4 linked regions of the Arabidopsis thaliana genome follow. Each later gene encodes a partner of the first gene's protein in a complex. Each region holds a gene or a part of one and is shown on either strand. Other genes may lie near its edges.

Region 1 (3,565 bases):
ACATTCCCGTTTACAACAATACATGCACATCCATCTGCACTTGGTTACAAATGAACAAATCTCACTCAAAAAAGTAGATATGATTTACTCAAAAATGATACTTTCAATAATTTTAAGGGTTGTCAAACATACCGTAGTATAAGCGGCTACCATCGCATCCTTGTTGATTACTGTACATATACACCCCACCACGAGCATGAGTAGCCCCCATAAAAGCATTCAGACGAATATCTAGTTTCCTAAGTTGGTGATGACTCCCACTTGCATTCATAAATACTTCAACACCATTCAATGCGAGCTCGGCATGAGGAGGAAGTGGACTAAACAGTTCCTCACAGACTTCAGCTGCAACAGCCCTGATAAGGAAATATAACTGATACAGTTAAGCAGACAAAATCATTGACAGTGTTGAAATGGAAGCATTTATCCAAACTCACGTGTCGATAAACTGGATGTAACCATAACCAAAAGGGACTGATTTCTGCTCCAAAGCCTCTGAAATTTCAATGGGGAGCTGAAATTCCTCTAGCTCTTCTCTCTGCTTCCAAGCTGTGAACCACCGTAGCTCCCTATAGTTTCCATCGTTTGCGAGCCACATTTTCGGTCGAATCATGATGATTCTTCTGTTCATACAGAGAACCTGGCAGTTATAACGCTCTGCTCCTTTAATCACAGGCATTCCTATGCTGCACAAAATATCATCCGTCCAATCACCAAGCAGCAATTCCTTCAAACACTCCCACCTGAAAGAAGATATTCACATGAACATAAGAAGAAACGGTTAAACATGATTCCGATAACTAAATTCAGAAGAAAAAGAAATTAATTCCATCATCTAAAGTGATAGTACCAAGTCATTCATGCCATTCATCATCGAAATAGAAAACTAAAAATAGAAGCTTACGCATGAGTGACAGTGTCGAGTTCCAAGAAGTGATCCTCGCAACCATAGCCAGTGACCTCGAGCTCGGGTCCAAGCCTGATAACAGCACCAGCAGCCTTTGCCTCAGCGATCGAAGCCTTGATGTTCTTCATGTTGCTCTCGAAATCCATGGCCCATTGGTTCAAGTTACACGTAGCAACCTTCAACAGCCTCATCTTCGTCGCCTAAAGAGAAAGACAAGTAAATTTACTGTACATCAAGTAGTGTAAAAAATCTGACTTATCTAAGGCACAAACTTGTTCATGAGAACAGAAGCTGGTTAAATTAGTTAAAGGAACAAACTTTGTATTACTTTGCTAATACTAACAATTCAAATTCAATTTTAACAGCCATAATACACAATATCTGTAACGAAGAACTCGTCAACGCAACACTATTCGATGTGAATCAATTGCCAAAAGAAGAGAAGGAAGAATTGGAGCTTACGTGAATGTGCAAAGAAACCAAGTATCAAAGTCGTGAAATTCGGAGATCGTGAAAATTGAAAACTATGGGAGTTTGTATTTCTTTCAGATGTGAAATTCACAGACTCCAAGTGATTGTGCAGTGCTCGTGCAGAACAGATTGTGACCGACCAAGAAGAACATTCGGTTTGAGAGGAAGAAGAAGAAGAAGAGATTGATACTGAAACGACGGCGTTTTACGATTGTAAATTACAAACAAAACCTTAACTGAGAACAACTTCGTTTTATCATGACACGACATCATTTTTTTTTTTTTTTGGTCAAAACACGACATCGTTTAAGTTCCCACTTTTGTCTCTTCTTCGTTCTTTTAAGTTTTAATAGACGACGACGGCGACGAGAAGGAGAATTAGCGAGATCGGAAGGAGAAAAAATGGATCAATTCTCAGGAGGAGGAGGTAATTGGTCGATGATCCCAAACGTGCAGGCGCAAGGTAACTTCGGTACACCGACGAATCATGACCAGCAACTATTCCTCCAGCAACAACAATTACAACAACAACAACAACAACAACAACAACAACAGTTTCATCTTCAACAACAACAACAGACGCAGCAGCAACAACAACAATTCCAGCCACAACAACAACAAGAGATGCAACAATATCAGCAATTCCAACAACAGCAACACTTCATCCAACAACAGCAATTCCAACAACAACAACGGTTGTTACAATCTCCTCCTCTTCAGCCACAGTCGTTACAATCACCTCCGCCGCAACAGACGATGGTTCACACGCCTCAATCTATGATGCATACACCGCAGCAACAACAACAGTTGGTTCAAACTCCGGTGCAGACTCCTCAACAGCATCAGTCTTTAGCTTCTCATTTCCATCTCTATCCGGTAAGAGAAACAAAGAAAATTGATGAAATTGGAATCGTTGGGGGTTCTAATTTCGTGTTAATGACGCAGATGGTGGAGAAATTAGCTGATGTGATCGAAAATGGAACACGAGATCAGAATTCTGACGCCCTGGTTTGTTAAAAATCAAGTCTTTTAAAGTGGTTTTGAGATTTCTAGGGTTTCTTATTGGATGATGTTGAAATTGTGGGATTTGCAGGTGAATGAATTGAATAGCCATTTCGACAAGTGTCAACAGTTGCTGAATTCGATTTCAGGATCACTAGGATCTAAAACTATGGTAACATTTTGGATCTCTGTATTGGTTCTGTTTAATCTTTTGTTTCTTATGGATCTCTCTCTCTCTCTGTGTTTTATAGACTGTTGATGGCCAAAAGAGAAATGTTGAAGAAAGTGAGCAATTGCTTCAACAGAGAAGGTTAGCTAGATTGTTAGTATCATGTTTTATCTGATCAGATTGTGATCGTGCTCTTACTCTTTTGTTGTTAAATGTCTTCTGGTCAGGGATTTGATTGTGGAGTATAGGAAATCTATTGAAGAGATTGTGACAATGGAGCATTAGTTTCTCATATTTTGATTCAGCAACTGTTTAGCTACTTAAGACCAATAATTGTTATCAATAAACCAATCTTGATTCACATAATAAAGAGAATGTGGTTTTCTTCAAGAAAATTCATTCTTCGGATTACAAATAGATCACAATGCATAATGTGTTTTGTCTGCATCAAACCAAACCAAAATCTTTGTATGTGGGACATGCAACAGAAAGCTCAACCCAAAAACGATATAAGCCCAGGTAGTTGTTGAACATAGTGAGTGGTTTTGTGATTTAGATTCAGAACAGAGTAGAAAAAGCATTGTAGCGACCATGGAAAATTCAACCATTATTCCACAATGATCCTCCAAATATAAAACAAAACACCATTGAAGCCACATCTATTAGTCTTTTAAAAAGAAATAAAAACACCGACTTCTAATCTATCCCTACTCACTATTTTGAAATCATGATAATAGTCTTAAACAGGTAAAAAAAAAACCCAATAAAACACTCACGTAAGCTTCATATTCTCTAGATAGTTTGGAACAGCATGAAACAAAACCCGTTTAGAACCTTGAGATTCTGGAACTTCAACTCTTACTCTTACCACAATGTTCTCCTCGAGATTGTAGTAATAAAGGTAAAAAGGAACTTGTGGATCATAGTGATTTGGGCAGAATACAGCTTCACCTTTACTAGTAACTAAAAAGTTTACATCAATTCCATTGAACTCCGGCCATTGAAGGGGCTTTACG
Region 2 (3,801 bases), on another chromosome or scaffold:
AAAAGTGATCTTTTCTTTATAATCAATAATCTTTCTTAATCCGATTATAAGTAGAAAACAATTATTAAGTTTAAAAAAAAAATACAATTTTTTTTTTTCACATAGTAAAAGTATTAGAATTGAACTTTACAAAAAATTAATAAAAATTAAAGAAAAACAATAGTAGAGTCATATTTCACTAAATATTTTACATATAATATTTATATAAATATATATATTGGTAAATTTATACAATTGTTAATTTATAATATTGATCGGACTGGCTAAAGTTTTCTTTTCATCCTAAAGCTTCATCACGCAGACAAAAGATTGTTGGACTCTATACAAGTCTTGTGAGAGAGCGCAAGAAGGATGATGAGTTAGGATATCTTCACATGCTTGAGTACAAATACACAATCAAGATCCGGTTTTGGACCACAACTTATGGACTGGTCATTTCTTTTCAGCAACTTGGATTGAATGTGACAGATACCAGAGTTCATAGTAATTTGACCATCATAGTAATTTGACCAACACTGCCCGGAGAATCAAACATGATGTGTCAATCATGGCCTGTAATTGTGAAAATGATAAAGTGGATTCTCTGAGATTGTAATCAGACAGGTCAAAAAAGTGTAAGGTTAAAATAATGGTTCTGTTGTTGTGAGCTAACTAACATTCTTGTAATTGCTTCTACAACAATTTTTTGGTGAACCAACTTAGAATAGATATTCCTTATGAACCTAAAAGATAATTGTTGCTGAACCAAATCATATAGTTTCTAAATCAGCTCGACAAAAGGTAAACAAGCATTTCATTCAGGTTTCTTCATGTTCAGGCAATTGTCAGCAGCTTGTCCAAACAGCTCTTGTACTTGCTTTAGCTCCTTCTCTGTCACAAACAAGGTCACACCATTAACATCAGCTCAATCGTCAGAGGCAGTTGCAAGGGAAAACAAAAATTCCAAATTCTAGAACCACTAAAGATAACATCTAACCATAGTGCGTGTATCAACAAGAAAGTATACAAATTGAAATTTGAAGTGCATAATGAATCTGCTCCAGTTACAGACAGATAAGACACACCAACAATGAAGTGAAAACCTAAGATCGTTTTTTACCTGCAGCCTCTAGTTGCTTTTGGAGTTCTTGACCAACAAGATCATTTTCCACCTGAAGAAAAAACAGGACAAAGCGGTTAGACAAATAGAAGTAATCGGATTCAAGAACTCGACATATCGGTGTGACTTGTTTGACCTGGAGTTCAGCGATTCTTTTGAGCTGAGCACCTTCACCACCTTCTGACAAAGGAAGTGCAGCAACCAAAGCATCAAACTGTTTAGCAGCCTTAACTAAGCCAGCACTGAGCTGCTTAGGTTGCTCAGGAAAAGGCGTAGCATCATCAGTAACCGTAGTTGTAGCGGGTGGTTCAGGATAATTAGGTGAAAGCTGGACTGGTGGTGCATCCCTTTGCAGTGTCCCAAAAGCATTGAAAGTGATAGCAGCAATCGTATTCACTTGTTCTTGCAACTGTGAGATTATATCCATCTTCCAAAACCTTAAAAGACCTTGAACAAGTATAAAATTTACAGTAATCAATCACATATTAGACTTTTAACATATACTCAAAAGCAAGATATAACGTTCAGAGAGGATCTAGGAGATTCAAATGGCACAAAATTGGTGGTCAATTCCTGAATTTATCAAACAAGATTCTCAACAAAACTAGTGCCAAAGCATAAATCACTTAAAACCAGTTGGATTTCAGAGAGGATCAAAATGGCGAATCCTCAGGGAAAAAATTGACCTAATCGATTTAACGAAGCATAAGCTTTAACGAAGAGACTTACCCGTCGACAAGATTTCTCCGGCGACGCAGAGTCTGTTGGGTGTGGCAACGACAGATAATCGCTGCGAATTGGGGCGTTTTGTTGTTCTTAATAAACTTCGTTCTGCGTTTTGGGTTTGGGCTCGAAGATTTTTAAAATGGGCTTTTAAGGTGGCCTTTCCTTTGGATTTTTGGGCCCTAATTCCATAGAATTCGTAAGGAACGATTTCTGTTGTTTCTTTAAACCTACTGCTTTAATTAATTGACAACTAATTAAAAAAAAAAACACTGAAGTAGAATTGGGTGGCTGATTTTTGAGCCATAAACTATTTCGATTCTCAGCTTTCACCCCCGGACTTTTGGGCCCTTAAATTTTCACCATCAACTTTCATATTCCTCAAAATTACATCATCTACTTTCGAATTCATGCTTAAACATACATTTCCAATTGAACCATTCATTTAACCGGGATTAACCACAAATCTGCGTTTACTGTACCGCGATTGCGATTAACCTGACTAATACCCAGACCCGTTAAGAAAACGACGTCGTTTTCATTTCGTTTAACTCATCAAAAAGAGAAAGAAAACGACGTCGTTTTCATTCTTCTTCTTCTGCAAAATCGATTTGGTCGATTAGGGTTCTTCATTCGACAATTTTATAACAGAGACTAATCCAATACTACAATTTCACTCCAAAACCTCAACAACACCTACACTCTTCCCCAAAGCCATACAATAGATGCAACAATCACAACAGCAACCCCTACAGTCTTCAAAGCTGACTTTGCCATAACATGTCCTAGCTCTTCCACATTCTCCTTCATGGTCAAGAGTTCACCCTCCATCTTCTTAATCAGCTCTTCCTCCATCTGCTTAGCGTTTTTATTAAGGAGCTCCATATTAGCCATCACGTTCATTCTGAGGTCACTAATATTCTCTACAACTCTCTTACACTTCTCATTTACCATCTTAATTTCGTCCAAGAGAGCTTCATCAACCCATTTGAACAAGTGCTCTTCATTTTCTCTCTATAAAACATAATTTCCAATCATTTACTCCTTCAATCAATCAAATATATCACAAAATCGAAATGTGTACCTTCATTGCTATCGCACAACGGTAGAATCTCCGGTATGGATTCTCCTTTGTTTTCGATGTGAATGTAATGATCTCTTCTCCACACCAACATTTCGAGGGGACACCAGGAGGACAGACACGAAATCCTGAACTGGAAGCGGATGAGTAGTAGCTGTTGGTGCTCATTTTCTTATAAAATTGTCGAATGAAGAACCCTAATCGACCAAATCGATTTTGCAGAAGAAGAAGAATGAAAACGACGTCGTTTTCTTTCTCTTTTTGATGAGTTAAACGAAATGAAAACGACGTCGTTTTCTTAACGGGTCTGGGTATTAGTCGGGTTAATCGCAATCGCGGTACAGTAAACGCGGATTTGTGGTTAATCCCGGTTAAATGAATGGTTCAATTGGAAATGTATGTTTAAGCATGAATCCGAAAGTAGATGATGTAATTTTGGGAATATGAAAGTTGATGGTGGAAATTTAAGGGCCCAAAAGTCCGGGGGTGAAAGCTGAGAATCGAAATAGTTTATGGCTCGAAAATCAGCTAACCCAAGTAGAATCGATACTGATTGTGTCTAGTGCTTTAATTATCTCTAGTAGATCTTCAAGGTTTATGCCTTGTCCCTAGTACATTTTGCTATCTCGGTCTGGTGGGTGAGGTGTGATGGTGTTTGTACTTATGTCTCTGGTTTCAGCGGCTTCTTGCTTTCCTCTCTGTCGATTTACTATTAGTTTTGACTTCGGTGTAAAATCTATCCGATCTTATTGGTGTTTCCGGCGTTCACATTTTTTAGGAGAAGTTTAGGTCTTATTTTTCCCATAGTTTTTTATTTTCTTTTGAATTTTGTCTCTTGATTCAATTTCGTTGGTTTAAAATGTTTCCTTATATATGTTTTTGGTTTTACTTCCTTTTT
Region 3 (7,800 bases), about 15 Mb from region 1:
CTCGTTTCTCCAGAATCAACAAGGAAAAAAAAGACATTGTTTGGTGAAAAGTAAAAAAACAAACTAGTTGTTTTCTCGTTTCGAAAACTTAAAACTATGTTTCACTGGACTGAAATATTGAGCAGTTGATACGCACCAACTCTTTCAAACATTGGCGGCTAAAGATATTGCAGAAAACATCAACATATTACACATTTACACATAGACAACCTCTGTCATAAGAAAAGTTTCTCTTTTGACTTATAGGACATGTACACTTGACAAGTTAGGTGAGTTTGATTGTTTCTTAGGTAATGATACTGAAATTTACATTTGTTAAATATGTATAAAACCTTCAACCGGTTTTGTGTTTTGTTTGATGAATATTATGTGATGATTATTCTAAAATCCCCTATAATAAAAAAGTTATAAAAAAAAAAAAATTTTTAGTCTGATTATATTTATATCATAGTTCATTAACAAAACAGTTAAAATAATTGAATTAAGAAAGGACACAAATGTATTTCAAAATTAATTGAAAATCGTCTTTATTTGCTTTTATTTTTAAAATCAGATTATTAAGGATTTTATTCCTTAACTATCTACATATACATTTTTGCAGTCATTTTAGCAAATAAATCTTAGAGTTGGACTTATTTACAACCCAATGCCATTAACATTAAATATTTTCCAAAATAATTAATTTTACTTTAAATTTTTAATTTAAATTGTCAATCACATTATCAATCAAATTTAATCCAAACAAACTTCACATCAATCCCTTAAAATTAGCATAAACGTATTTTATTAACTATATTTTAAAACAATGTTTTTTGTTTAAATAAATATTATTCTTACTAAACGTTTTTTGTTTAAATAAACAAATCATGTATTTGAACTTATTTACAATGTCATACTACTGACATTAATTATTTAGGCATGAAAATATTTATTTAAGGATTTAAATCTTCTAAATTCTTGCTTTTAGAGTTATTATATCATTACCTAAAAGGCAAAAAATATTAATTTTTTAAATATTATTATTTGTATATTTAAACTTCATAAAACATTATCAATATTTGAATTTATAAAAAGTTTAATTTATCAAAAAAATTAACATCATTATATAATATATAGAGTTTTAAAAAATCTCAAAAAAAAATTCGTCATATTTTGTGATTCGAAATTTTAAGAATGAACATATATTAACCAATTGGCGAAAAATGTGTGGGTTCAATGTCACGCAACGACTAAAATATTTTGACAATGATTCATAAACATATTATAAATAAGATCAACATTAATAAAATAAATAGTTTTTTTTTTGGACGGGTTTGGCAGGACATGTTTGGTAGGACGGATTTGGCAGGACGTTACTTAGTAACAATGGTAAACTATAAAATAATTTACAAATTTTATATATATTAATTTTTAAAAATGAATTGTCTCCGCGGTGTATCGCGGGTTAAAATCTAGTAAGGTTTATTTTTCCAACCTATAAAATTATTAATAAAAAATGCTGTTTTGTTAAAAAAAACGTAAACAACATATGTGACTTAATGTACTTTTATTATATCTAATTTTATTATCACTTTATAATCACTTTTCTAAAACGTTTTCTAAAATGAAACGAAAAATATATAATTTATTTAAAATTGAAAAATAGTGGTCATATTATCTAGTTAACAAATTTCTAATACATTTTGCACCAATGCTACCATATTTGAACTGGGAAAACTATACAATTATACATGTGGTAATTAATACTAGATTTTTTTGTTTATTTTGAAAAAAAAAAAAACTTGTTATAAGCGAACTGGTAGGCTCGATTATGATTTACGACGCGAACAAGTTTCCTCTGTCTCTTTACCTAGAAGATCCTATATTCTTCATTCGTTTTTCGATCAAGCTAAACCCTAAATCCAGCTCCAATTTCCCCTTTTTCTCCTCTGTTTTCCTAATATCAAGCCCTAATCGTTGTACCAACCTTGACTCCGTCAAACGCCAAATCTCCTTGATTGGCTCTGAATTTGAGGTGAAATGTTCGAATCTCGTTTTTTTTTCTGTTGTTCTTAAGCCTTGCTTTTTAGAGTTTTCTCTTTTGATCGGGATTCCAAAGAAGATAAAGTATCTCCCTTTGTAGTTGGGTCTGGTTTATTACAATTACGAGAATAGATGAACTTTGTTGATGTAATAAAGTTTGCTTATTTTGAGTTCCTGGATTCTCGTTCCGGTGGGATTGGCTATTTGATGTTTTGAGTTTATTGCTTTTTGCTACCAACATTAGAAAGAATGAACATTTTGGCTGATCAATAAGAAATTCTGAGTGTTAATCTAATCCATGTTGTGTGGTCATTTGTTTCCTGTTGATTTGGGATAATCAGTTGTTATATTGTCATGTTTTGGTTTCTCTGTATACTTACTATTGATACTTTGCTCTTCATGGCTTGTAAACACAGAAAACTTGATGGATAATAACAATTGGAGGCCTTCTCTTCCAAACGGAGAGCCTGCCATGGATACAGGTGACTGGAGAACGCAATTGCCACCTGATTCTCGTCAGAAGATCGTCAACAAGATGTAAGTCACTCTAGCGGCGTTGTTTTGTCTATGCCAGTCAAATACTACAGAAATAGAAGGTTATTATGTTCCTTGACCAATAGTTAGTTTGTTTGTTTTACTTATTTGCTTGCCACTTGCGCAGAATGGAAACACTAAAGAAGCACCTTCCATTTTCCGGACCAGAGGGAATTAACGAGCTCAGGAGAATTGCAGCTAGATTCGAGGAGAAAATTTTCAGCGGTGCTCTTAACCAGGTTATTATGAACATATATTCTTGTTTCGTTAGTATGGTAAATATAGAGATTTGTGAGGCAATGGACTCCACAACATGGAAAAGAACTGACTTTCGGTATCTGTAAAGCTAAGCCACAATATGTTGGGTATGAAATCCATGTATACCTTCCTGATACTCTTTTATATCGCCTTTCAGACTGATTACCTTCGGAAAATATCAATGAAGATGCTGACAATGGAGACTAAATCACAAAATGCAGCTGGTTCTTCCGCAGCTATCCCTGCCGCTAATAATGGCACATCCATAGATTCGAGTAATCACGATTCTCAAGCATGAATTGCTTAAGTCTGTTTATCTGGTTTTATGGCTAATTGTTCCTCTTATTTGATGCTGTTTAACCTTTCCTTGAATAGTACCCACCAATCAAGGCCAACTTCTTCCAGGATCGTTATCAACCAATCAATCTCAAGCACCTCAGCCGTTGCTGTCCCAAACCATGCAGAATAATACTGCCTCTGGAATGACGGGTTCTACTGCTTTACCATCTTCCATGCCACCTGTTTCTTCCATAACCAATAATAACACCACAAGCGTTGTGAACCAGAATGCCAATATGCAAAATGTAGCTGGAATGTTGCAAGATTCATCTGGGCAGCATGGCCTTTCCTCGAACATGTTTTCAGGACCCCAAAGGCAGATGCTGGGTAGGCCACATGCTATGTCTTCACAGCAACAACAGCAGCCATATCTTTACCAGCAGCAGCTACAGCAGCAACTTCTCAAGCAGAACTTCCAGTCAGGGAATGTTCCCAATCCCAATTCGCTTTTGCCATCACACATTCAACAACAGCAGCAAAATGTGCTGCAGCCTAATCAACTGCATTCATCTCAACAACCTGGTGTTCCAACATCTGCGACTCAGCCCTCCACTGTGAACTCAGCTCCTCTCCAAGGTCTCCACACCAATCAGCAATCAAGTCCGCAATTGTCTTCTCAGCAGACGACACAATCTATGCTTCGTCAGCATCAATCGTCGATGCTAAGGCAACATCCGCAATCACAACAAGCCTCTGGTATCCATCAGCAGCAATCTTCATTGCCGCAACAATCAATTTCTCCTCTACAGCAGCAGCCTACACAATTAATGCGGCAACAAGCTGCAAATAGCTCAGGCATCCAACAGAAGCAGATGATGGGGCAGCATGTTGTTGGGGATATGCAGCAGCAACATCAGCAAAGGTTACTGAACCAACAAAATAATGTTATGAACATACAACAGCAGCAGTCGCAGCAGCAACCACTGCAGCAGCCACAGCAACAGCAGAAACAGCAGCCACCGGCCCAGCAGCAGTTGATGTCTCAACAAAACAGCCTCCAGGCAACGCATCAGAACCCACTGGGCACTCAAAGCAATGTTGCAGGATTGCAGCAACCACAACAACAGATGCTCAATTCCCAGGTTGGCAATTCGAGTTTGCAGAATAACCAGCACTCGGTGCACATGTTATCACAACCAACGGTTGGGCTGCAACGAACACATCAGGCTGGCCATGGCTTGTATTCTTCTCAGGGACAACAGTCACAAAATCAGCCATCACAACAGCAGATGATGCCACAGCTTCAATCGCATCATCAGCAGCTGGGTTTGCAACAACAACCTAATCTGCTACAACAGGATGTGCAACAAAGGCTACAAGCTTCAGGCCAAGTCACTGGTTCCCTGCTTCCACCTCAAAATGTTGTGGACCAACAGAGACAACTATATCAATCCCAAAGAACCCTTCCGGAGATGCCATCATGTATGCTTTTGATCCTTTTAATACTTTAGGTTCTGATATTTTCCATAATCTCTCAGCAGGATATGATGCTGAACATATTTTCGTTTTTATAATTCTTAGCATCGCTGGATTCGACAGCACAGACGGAAAGTGCAAATGGAGGTGATTGGCAAGAGGAGGTTTACCAAAAGGTAGTTCTCTCTTTTTGTGTTTGCTATATATCTTTACCAATTATGGCTACACTTATTAAATCTTCAAGTGATAGATATCATTGTAATGAGTAATCATATGACCATATTGCTTGTCTTTGTAGATCAAATCTATGAAAGAGACTTACTTACCAGATCTGAATGAAATCTACCAGAGAGTTGCAGCAAAGTTGCAGCAAGTAAGTTACAATTTTCTTTTCTTTTTTATACTAGGAGAATCGTTTGTACGTCTATGTCCTCTGGAACAGTAGTGAGTACCTTCTGAGAAGCTTTATGAATTCAATGCAAGTTCGGTTCGTTATTGCATAAGAACGTCATCAACTTTGGAGTCTTGTTACCCATTTAACAAAGAAAAAGAAAAAGAATCTTGAGACTCGTATTCTTACAGTTTACTAGAAAATCAACCTGCTGATATTTATGTTCCTTCCCAAACCTACAGAAGTTGTAGCTTGCATCTATGTATTTGTTTCTTTTTTATTTAGTAAGTTATTTTTGTATCTGGAGCAGGATTCTATGCCACAGCAACAAAGATCAGATCAGCTTGAGAAACTGAGACAATTCAAAACAATGTTGGAGCGAATGATACAATTTCTATCTGTTTCAAAGAGCAACATCATGCCCGCATTAAAAGATAAGGTGGCTTATTATGAGAAGCAGATTATAGGTTTCTTAAATATGCACAGGCCGAGGAAGCCAGTACAGCAAGGGCAGCTTCCGCAATCTCAGATGCAGCCTATGCAGCAACCACAATCTCAGACAGTTCAAGATCAATCCCATGATAACCAAACAAATCCGCAGATGCAATCAATGAGCATGCAGGGTGCTGGGCCAAGGGCACAACAGAGTAGTATGACAAATATGCAGAGCAATGTTCTATCATCTCGTCCTGGAGTTTCAGCTCCACAGCAGAACATTCCCAGTTCCATACCGGCTTCTAGTTTAGAATCAGGCCAAGGAAATACCTTGAACAATGGACAGCAGGTTGCCATGGGATCTATGCAACAAAATACTTCTCAACTAGTAAATAACAGTTCTGCCTCTGCTCAAAGTGGGTTGAGCACACTGCAGTCGAATGTGAATCAACCCCAGTTAAGTTCCAGTTTGCTTCAGCATCAGCACCTCAAGCAACAGCAAGATCAACAAATGCAGCTCAAACAGCAATTTCAACAGCGCCAGATGCAACAGCAACAGTTGCAAGCAAGACAGCAACAGCAACAGCAACAGTTGCAAGCAAGACAGCAAGCGGCACAATTACAGCAGATGAATGATATGAATGATTTAACATCGAGGCAGGGGATGAATGTCAGTCGTGGGATGTTTCAGCAACATTCTATGCAGGGTCAGCGTGCGAATTATCCTCTTCAACAGTTAAAACCAGGAGCTGTTTCGTCGCCTCAACTTCTGCAAGGTGCATCTCCTCAGATGTCACAACATTTGTCTCCTCAGGTTGACCAGAAAAATACTGTCAACAAGATGGGAACTCCATTGCAACCTGCAAATTCCCCTTTTGTTGTCCCATCTCCTTCTTCAACCCCCTTGGCTCCGTCCCCTATGCAAGTTGACTCTGAGAAACCTGGTTCTTCTTCGTTGTCAATGGGAAATATTGCACGCCAACAAGCAACCGGCATGCAAGGTGTAGTTCAGTCCCTAGCAATTGGCACTCCAGGGATCTCTGCCTCTCCTCTCCTTCAGGAGTTTACTAGTCCTGATGGGAATATTTTAAATTCTTCGACAATTACATCTGGAAAACCGAGTGCTACTGAGCTGCCTATTGAACGCCTTATTAGAGCCGTAAGTAAATTTCCAATTTTTAAGGGTATATCGCAGCAGGACGGTGATATTGCTGCAAACCCGTTTTGTAATATAATCATTGTTCTGCTTATGATGTATGCTTTGCTTTCAGGTGAAGTCCATCTCACCACAAGCCCTTTCTTCTGCAGTAAGTGACATCGGATCTGTTGTAAGCATGGTTGATCGGATAGCTGGTTCAGCACCAGGAAACGGTTCAAGAGCTTCCGTTGGTGAAGACTTGGTTGCAATGACTAAGTGCCGTCTCCAAGCAAGAAACTTCATGACCCAAGAGGGAATGATGGCGACTAAGAAAATGAAGCGTCACACAACCGCAATGCCACTAAGCGTTGCTTCACTGGGAGGAAGTGTTGGTGATAACTACAAGCAGTTTGCTGGTTCAGAAACATCCGATCTAGAATCTACTGCGACTTCGGATGGCAAGAAGGCAAGAACTGAGGTATGATACTCAGTTAGACTTCCCCTAGCTATATTTGAATATTGACACACACTCACACACACACACACACACGTAACAAAGAAAATTTGGAAGCACAAGGTTTCGATATTCTTTTTTTTTTGAAGACTCAATCTTGAACTGCAGACCGAGCATGCCCTTTTGGAGGAAATAAAGGAAATAAACCAGCGGCTGATAGATACAGTTGTTGAGATAAGTGATGATGAAGATGCTGCTGATCCTAGTGAGGTTGCAATATCAAGCATAGGGTGTGAAGGAACAACAGTTAGATTCTCGTTTATAGCTGTTTCTCTCAGCCCAGCCTTGAAGGCTCATCTCTCATCAACACAAATGGTAAACATGGTCATCTCGTTAACATTAACGTTTTGTGAAACAAAATATTTCATTTATCCTTTTTTATAATATATGCTTTGTGCTTCTATTACAGTCTCCTATTCAACCATTGCGTCTGCTGGTTCCTTGTAGCTACCCCAATGGCTCTCCATCTCTTCTAGATAAACTCCCGGTCGAAACCAGGTACAAGCAAATCCTTCAGTCTCAAGTAAATAGAACCATAGATTTTCCGTACCGAGTCGAGCAAACTTCTACGATACAGTTAAAATCTTCACAAGAATCATCTACTAGAAACCCTTTATTAGAAACTGCGTTATCTTCTTACCGTAACACGGTCTGGTTTCTTGAACAGCAAAGAAAACGAGGACCTGTCGTCCAAAGCTATGGCAAGGTTCAACATATTGCTAAGAAGTTTGTCACAGCCGATGTCGCTCAAAG
Region 4 (4,010 bases), about 15 Mb from region 1:
AAGCAAGAGAGGTTGTTGTTGACCAATGGGACTCCTTGTAGAATCGATAGCTTCTCAAGTCCCATGGTTTTCGATTACAGTTTCAAGGATGAGAAACTTTACGCTCAAGATACTTATTTTGAAGATATCAAATGGGATTCAATGTTTCAGAATCTCAAACCTACTTAGAAAAATCTCTAAGTTCTGTTTTATGTTTTCTCTTTCAGCTTCTTCTTCGTTCTTTATATCAGAATTGATGGTGAGAGATGAGGTTTTAGGGTTCTTCCACCATGTTTTCTTGATTTTGTCTTTGTATGTGATTAGGCTAGTTAATTTTTGTTAGTTAACAATTGGAAAATAGAGTTGAGTGGTGGTGTCAGGTGTGTATGTGAGTGTGTGGGGTCATTGTAATGAGTCTGTCTCTCCAGTCTTTGCTTTTGGCCTAAGTCTCTGTTCCAGTCAAAACTTCTTTACAGCTTTTATCACTTTTTACTCTTTTCTCAAAAAATGCTCTGTTTACACACATAACCATGACGCTAAGCCTGCCGGAGTGATCTTACTCTTGAGGTAATCGGAAAGATCTTGAGCTCAGGACACTACACAGTCTACACTAGAGCACACAAAACATTGTGCTTCCAAATTTTATCTGTTGTGTGTGTGTCAATTTTCAGATATACCTAAGGGAAGTGTAACTGAAAACCATACCTCAGTTCTTGGCTTCTTGCCACCACAAGTCACAGTAGATTCCATATCTGATGTTACCAAACCAGCAAAATGCTTGTAGCTATTACCAACGCTTTCCTCCCAATGAAGCAACACTTGATGGCATTGGGGTTGTCTGACGCTTCCTTTTCATGGTCGCCATCTTGCGTCATGAAGTTTCTTTCTTGGAGATGGCACTTAGTCATTGCAACCAAGTCCACACCAAATGAAGCTCTTGAACCTTTGCCTGGTACTGAACCAGCAATCCTATCAACCATGCTTACAACAGATCTAATATCACATACTGCAGACGAAAGCGCTTGTGGTGAGATGGATTTCATCTGAAAACAACAGAAAGCAAACATCAAGATCAGAACAATGTTTCCACGGCAAATGAGGGATGGCAGCAATGACACTGCCCTGTTGCAATATACCCTTCAAAATTAGTAACGTTACTTACGGCTCTAATAAGGCGTTCAATAGGCAGCTCAGTAGCACTCGATTTTCCACAAGTACTTGTCAAAGGATTTATAATATTTCCATCAGGACTGGTAAGCTCCGGAAGGAGAGGAGAGGCAGAGATCCCTGGAGTGCCAATTTCAAGGGATTGAAGTACACCTTGCCTGATCTGTTGTACCCTTGACCCAGCACCCTGCATGCTCATTGATTGCATCTGCAGAGTTGTTTGGTCATCATGAGACTGATCTTGAACTGTCTGAGATAGTGGTTGCTGCATAGGCTGAATCTCAGATTTCGTAAGCTGCAGTTTCTGTACTGTCTTCCTCAGACTCTGCATATTTAAGAAATTCATAATGTTGTTCTTGCGATAATCCATACTATCCTTCAAGTCAGGTTTGATATTGCTCTTTGAAAGAGATAGGAAACGTAGCATTCCCTCCAACACTGTCTTGCCTCGTTTCAATTTCTCAAACTGATCTGATCTTTGTTTCTGATGCGAAAGAGAATCCTCCTAGAGAGAAAACGGAACGTATTCAGTAGAAAAGAAACAAACATATAGATGAACGTTAAAAGTTTACAACCTCTGTAGGTTTGGGAAGGAATATATCTGTCAGAAGGTTAACTTCTAGTGAACTATCTGTAAGTATAAGAGTCTGACGAACCTTTTACTTTGTTAAATGGGTAACAAGAATCCTAAGTTGTAGGACTTTCATTTGTAACAATGAACTGATCTTGCATTGAATTTGTAAAACTCTTCATAAAGTACTTAGTACTGTTCCAGAGGACGTACACGTGCAAACTAACTTCCTAGGAAGAATGAAAACTGTAACTTACTTGCTGCAACTTGGCTGCTACTCTCTGGTAGATTTCATTGAGGTCTCTTTGATGGATTTGATCTACAAAGAAAAGCAATATAATCATACATACGATTACTCATCATGGTGATATCATCTAGTAACAGAGAGATGATCCTGCTAGTAACAAAGGAATAATCTGGTTGTCGTAGTAATCTTTCAAGTAAGGCATGACATTGCTTCTTTGAAACAGATAGGAATTGTATCATTCTTCGCTCCAACATTGCCTTCAATCTCTCAAATTGCTTTAATCTCTGTTGATGGGTAAAAGAATTCTGCATGAATTCAATAAGAAACCAAACCCTACCCTACTAGTTGACGGAACACTAAAGCACCCACCAAAAACACACCTAATCTCCGAGAAATTAACATTTACAAAAAAAAAAAGGGTCTTTATTCATTTTTCGATCATAACTTGATAGGAGGAGCCTGGTAGAAACAGAGCACCGGAGTCAACAACATTGAGGATGAGAGTTCAAAACACATCAGAAGAGAGAAGACCAACATAAAAAGAGAGAGAGACAAAATATCTACAATGCATTTCCTTGATTATTATGAGACTGATCTTGAAGCTGCCTTTGCTGTACTGTCTTCCCAGCCGGTTCTTAGCGTAATTAAGAAATATATAATCCGTTTCTCATAATAGTCCCATCTACAATCCTTTAATATCGGCATGATATTTCTCTTTCGAAGAGATAGGACTTGGATCAATTGCTCTATGTTTGTCTTCATGCTTTGGAACTTGTCAAAGTGCTTTGATCTTTGTTGCTGCGGAAGCGATTCCTCCTGAAAAAAACAAACAAACTAGTATTACTACATCTATACAACTTAAGGCAGAGAGTTAATAGTTGACAGTAACTACATCTTACATGGTTCAACTTGTCTGCAAGTCTCTGGTAAACATCAGTCACATGTGGTAGATAACGCTCTCTCATGGATCTAAGCTGTATAAACAATTACACACCACAATGAATGATCCCGATGATGATTTAAGAAAGGAGTTTTATTATTATGATGATTATGACTTATGAGTTACCTTTTGGAAAACCTCCTCCCGCCAATCATCTCCATTTTCATTTTCCATTGTATCTACTATCTAGTGTTGCTAGCCAAGAAAAATAATTAAAAAGCGAGATTCATTCATCATCAGAAACTGTGTAAAAAAAAATACAAAAACCTAAAATTAGAGGTACACAAGTATCATCAATCCATAAAACTAGTTTCTTATGCAAAAGGTTTTGCTATCGACGAATCCATGGGTTTACTATGACACGTAATGAGATAGGTGACTCAAAATAAGGACCTTTTGGCGATGAATCTCCGAGACTTAGAACGGTCCGTTTGGATTTGGTTTTTCTCCAAACGTTCTTACGTTTCAATCTTTCTTTTAATAAGTGAAACGTAGCAATTAGGGTTAAGGAGAAGAATTAGAGATGATTGTTTTTGTTTTAATCATCTTTTGATTTTATAGAGAAACAAACAAGAGAGAGCTAAATACAAGGATTAAAAGGCTTCAACAACATTACAATATCAGGTTATTAAGCGAGGCCCAATGACCCAATAATAAGTACTTATCAGGCCCAAGTCTCTTCTGCAAATAATAAGTTTTTTGGAGTTTTTTTAAGTTTTCTATTTCACACAGTAAAGGCTAAAAATCGAGTAAAGAGACTTGTAGAAAAACCAGTGAAATCTCCGGCTATTTGTGTGACCAAAATGTTAATTATAGTCATTAACTAAATAAATCTCGTTCATGTACTAATTTGTATAGACAATTACACACCACACTGATCACTCCTTGTATCTTCTAACTTGATGACTTTATGATGATAAATCATCAATAATTACAATAAAAAAGTTAGCCATTTGGTATATACAAAAAAAAAAAAATGTTTCAAACAGCCATTTTATTGTGACAACTGAACAGAGTAAAGAAGTTGAAACTCTTCTGAACGATCTCAAAATGCGTATTACAACAAATCTCAAAATACAACATTCAGCAAGACCCCAAAAAAGGGG

Evidence for each region.
Region 2: MED9 (region 1) and MED21 share a complex: the UniProt entries of both Arabidopsis thaliana proteins name them as parts of the mediator complex.
Region 3: MED9 (region 1) and NRB4 share a complex: the UniProt entries of both Arabidopsis thaliana proteins name them as parts of the mediator complex.
Region 4: MED9 (region 1) and AT1G15770 share a complex: the UniProt entries of both Arabidopsis thaliana proteins name them as parts of the mediator complex.

Annotation. Positions count from the first base shown.
Region 1 is NC_003070.9:20,552,390-20,555,954, reverse strand, and holds MED9 (mediator of RNA polymerase II transcription subunit-like protein), read left to right. Parts: upstream 1-1,700; 5' UTR 1,701-1,780; coding exon 1,781-2,254; intron 2,255-2,323; coding exon 2,324-2,386; intron 2,387-2,471; coding exon 2,472-2,552; coding exon of another isoform or gene 2,553-2,631; coding exon 2,632-2,690; intron 2,691-2,776; coding exon 2,777-2,834; 3' UTR 2,835-3,050; downstream 3,051-3,565. Other genes in the region: AT1G55090 (carbon-nitrogen hydrolase family protein), read right to left, coding at 1-34, 133-356, 438-743, 905-1,098; AT1G55070 (F-box and associated interaction domains-containing protein), read right to left, coding at 3,322-3,565. UniProt on the Arabidopsis thaliana protein: Component of the Mediator complex, a coactivator involved in the regulated transcription of nearly all RNA polymerase II-dependent genes.
Region 2 is NC_003075.7:2,430,390-2,434,190, reverse strand, and holds MED21 (mediator 21), read right to left. Parts: upstream 1,940-3,801; 5' UTR 1,829-1,939; intron 1,547-1,828; 5' UTR 1,527-1,546; coding exon 1,236-1,526; intron 1,152-1,235; coding exon 1,100-1,151; intron 871-1,099; coding exon 794-870; 3' UTR 556-793; downstream 1-555. Other genes in the region: AT4G04775 (zinc ion binding protein), read right to left, coding at 2,519-2,836, 2,907-3,071. UniProt on the Arabidopsis thaliana protein: Component of the Mediator complex, a coactivator involved in the regulated transcription of nearly all RNA polymerase II-dependent genes.
Region 3 is NC_003070.9:5,430,568-5,438,367, reverse strand, and holds the start of NRB4 (mediator of RNA polymerase II transcription subunit 15a-like protein), read left to right. Parts: upstream 1-1,749; 5' UTR 1,750-2,014; intron 2,015-2,015; exon of another isoform or gene 2,016-2,154; coding exon of another isoform or gene 2,155-2,212; intron 2,213-2,438; coding exon of another isoform or gene 2,439-2,446; coding exon 2,447-2,559; intron 2,560-2,683; coding exon 2,684-2,795; intron 2,796-2,971; coding exon 2,972-3,089; intron 3,090-3,189; coding exon 3,190-4,575; intron 4,576-4,674; coding exon 4,675-4,745; intron 4,746-4,867; coding exon 4,868-4,942; intron 4,943-5,270; coding exon 5,271-6,554; intron 6,555-6,666; coding exon 6,667-7,011; intron 7,012-7,155; coding exon 7,156-7,362; intron 7,363-7,456; coding exon 7,457-7,800. UniProt on the Arabidopsis thaliana protein: Component of the Mediator complex, a coactivator involved in the regulated transcription of nearly all RNA polymerase II-dependent genes.
Region 4 is NC_003070.9:5,426,155-5,430,164, forward strand, and holds AT1G15770 (mediator of RNA polymerase II transcription subunit), read right to left. Parts: upstream 2,127-4,010; 5' UTR 2,062-2,126; coding exon 1,975-2,061; intron 1,652-1,974; coding exon 1,142-1,651; intron 1,023-1,141; coding exon 738-1,022; 3' UTR 554-737; downstream 1-553. Other genes in the region: AT1G15760 (Sterile alpha motif (SAM) domain-containing protein), read left to right, coding at 1-168; AT1G15772 (mediator of RNA polymerase II transcription subunit), read right to left, coding at 2,547-2,780, 2,864-2,938, 3,031-3,078. UniProt on the Arabidopsis thaliana protein: Component of the Mediator complex, a coactivator involved in the regulated transcription of nearly all RNA polymerase II-dependent genes.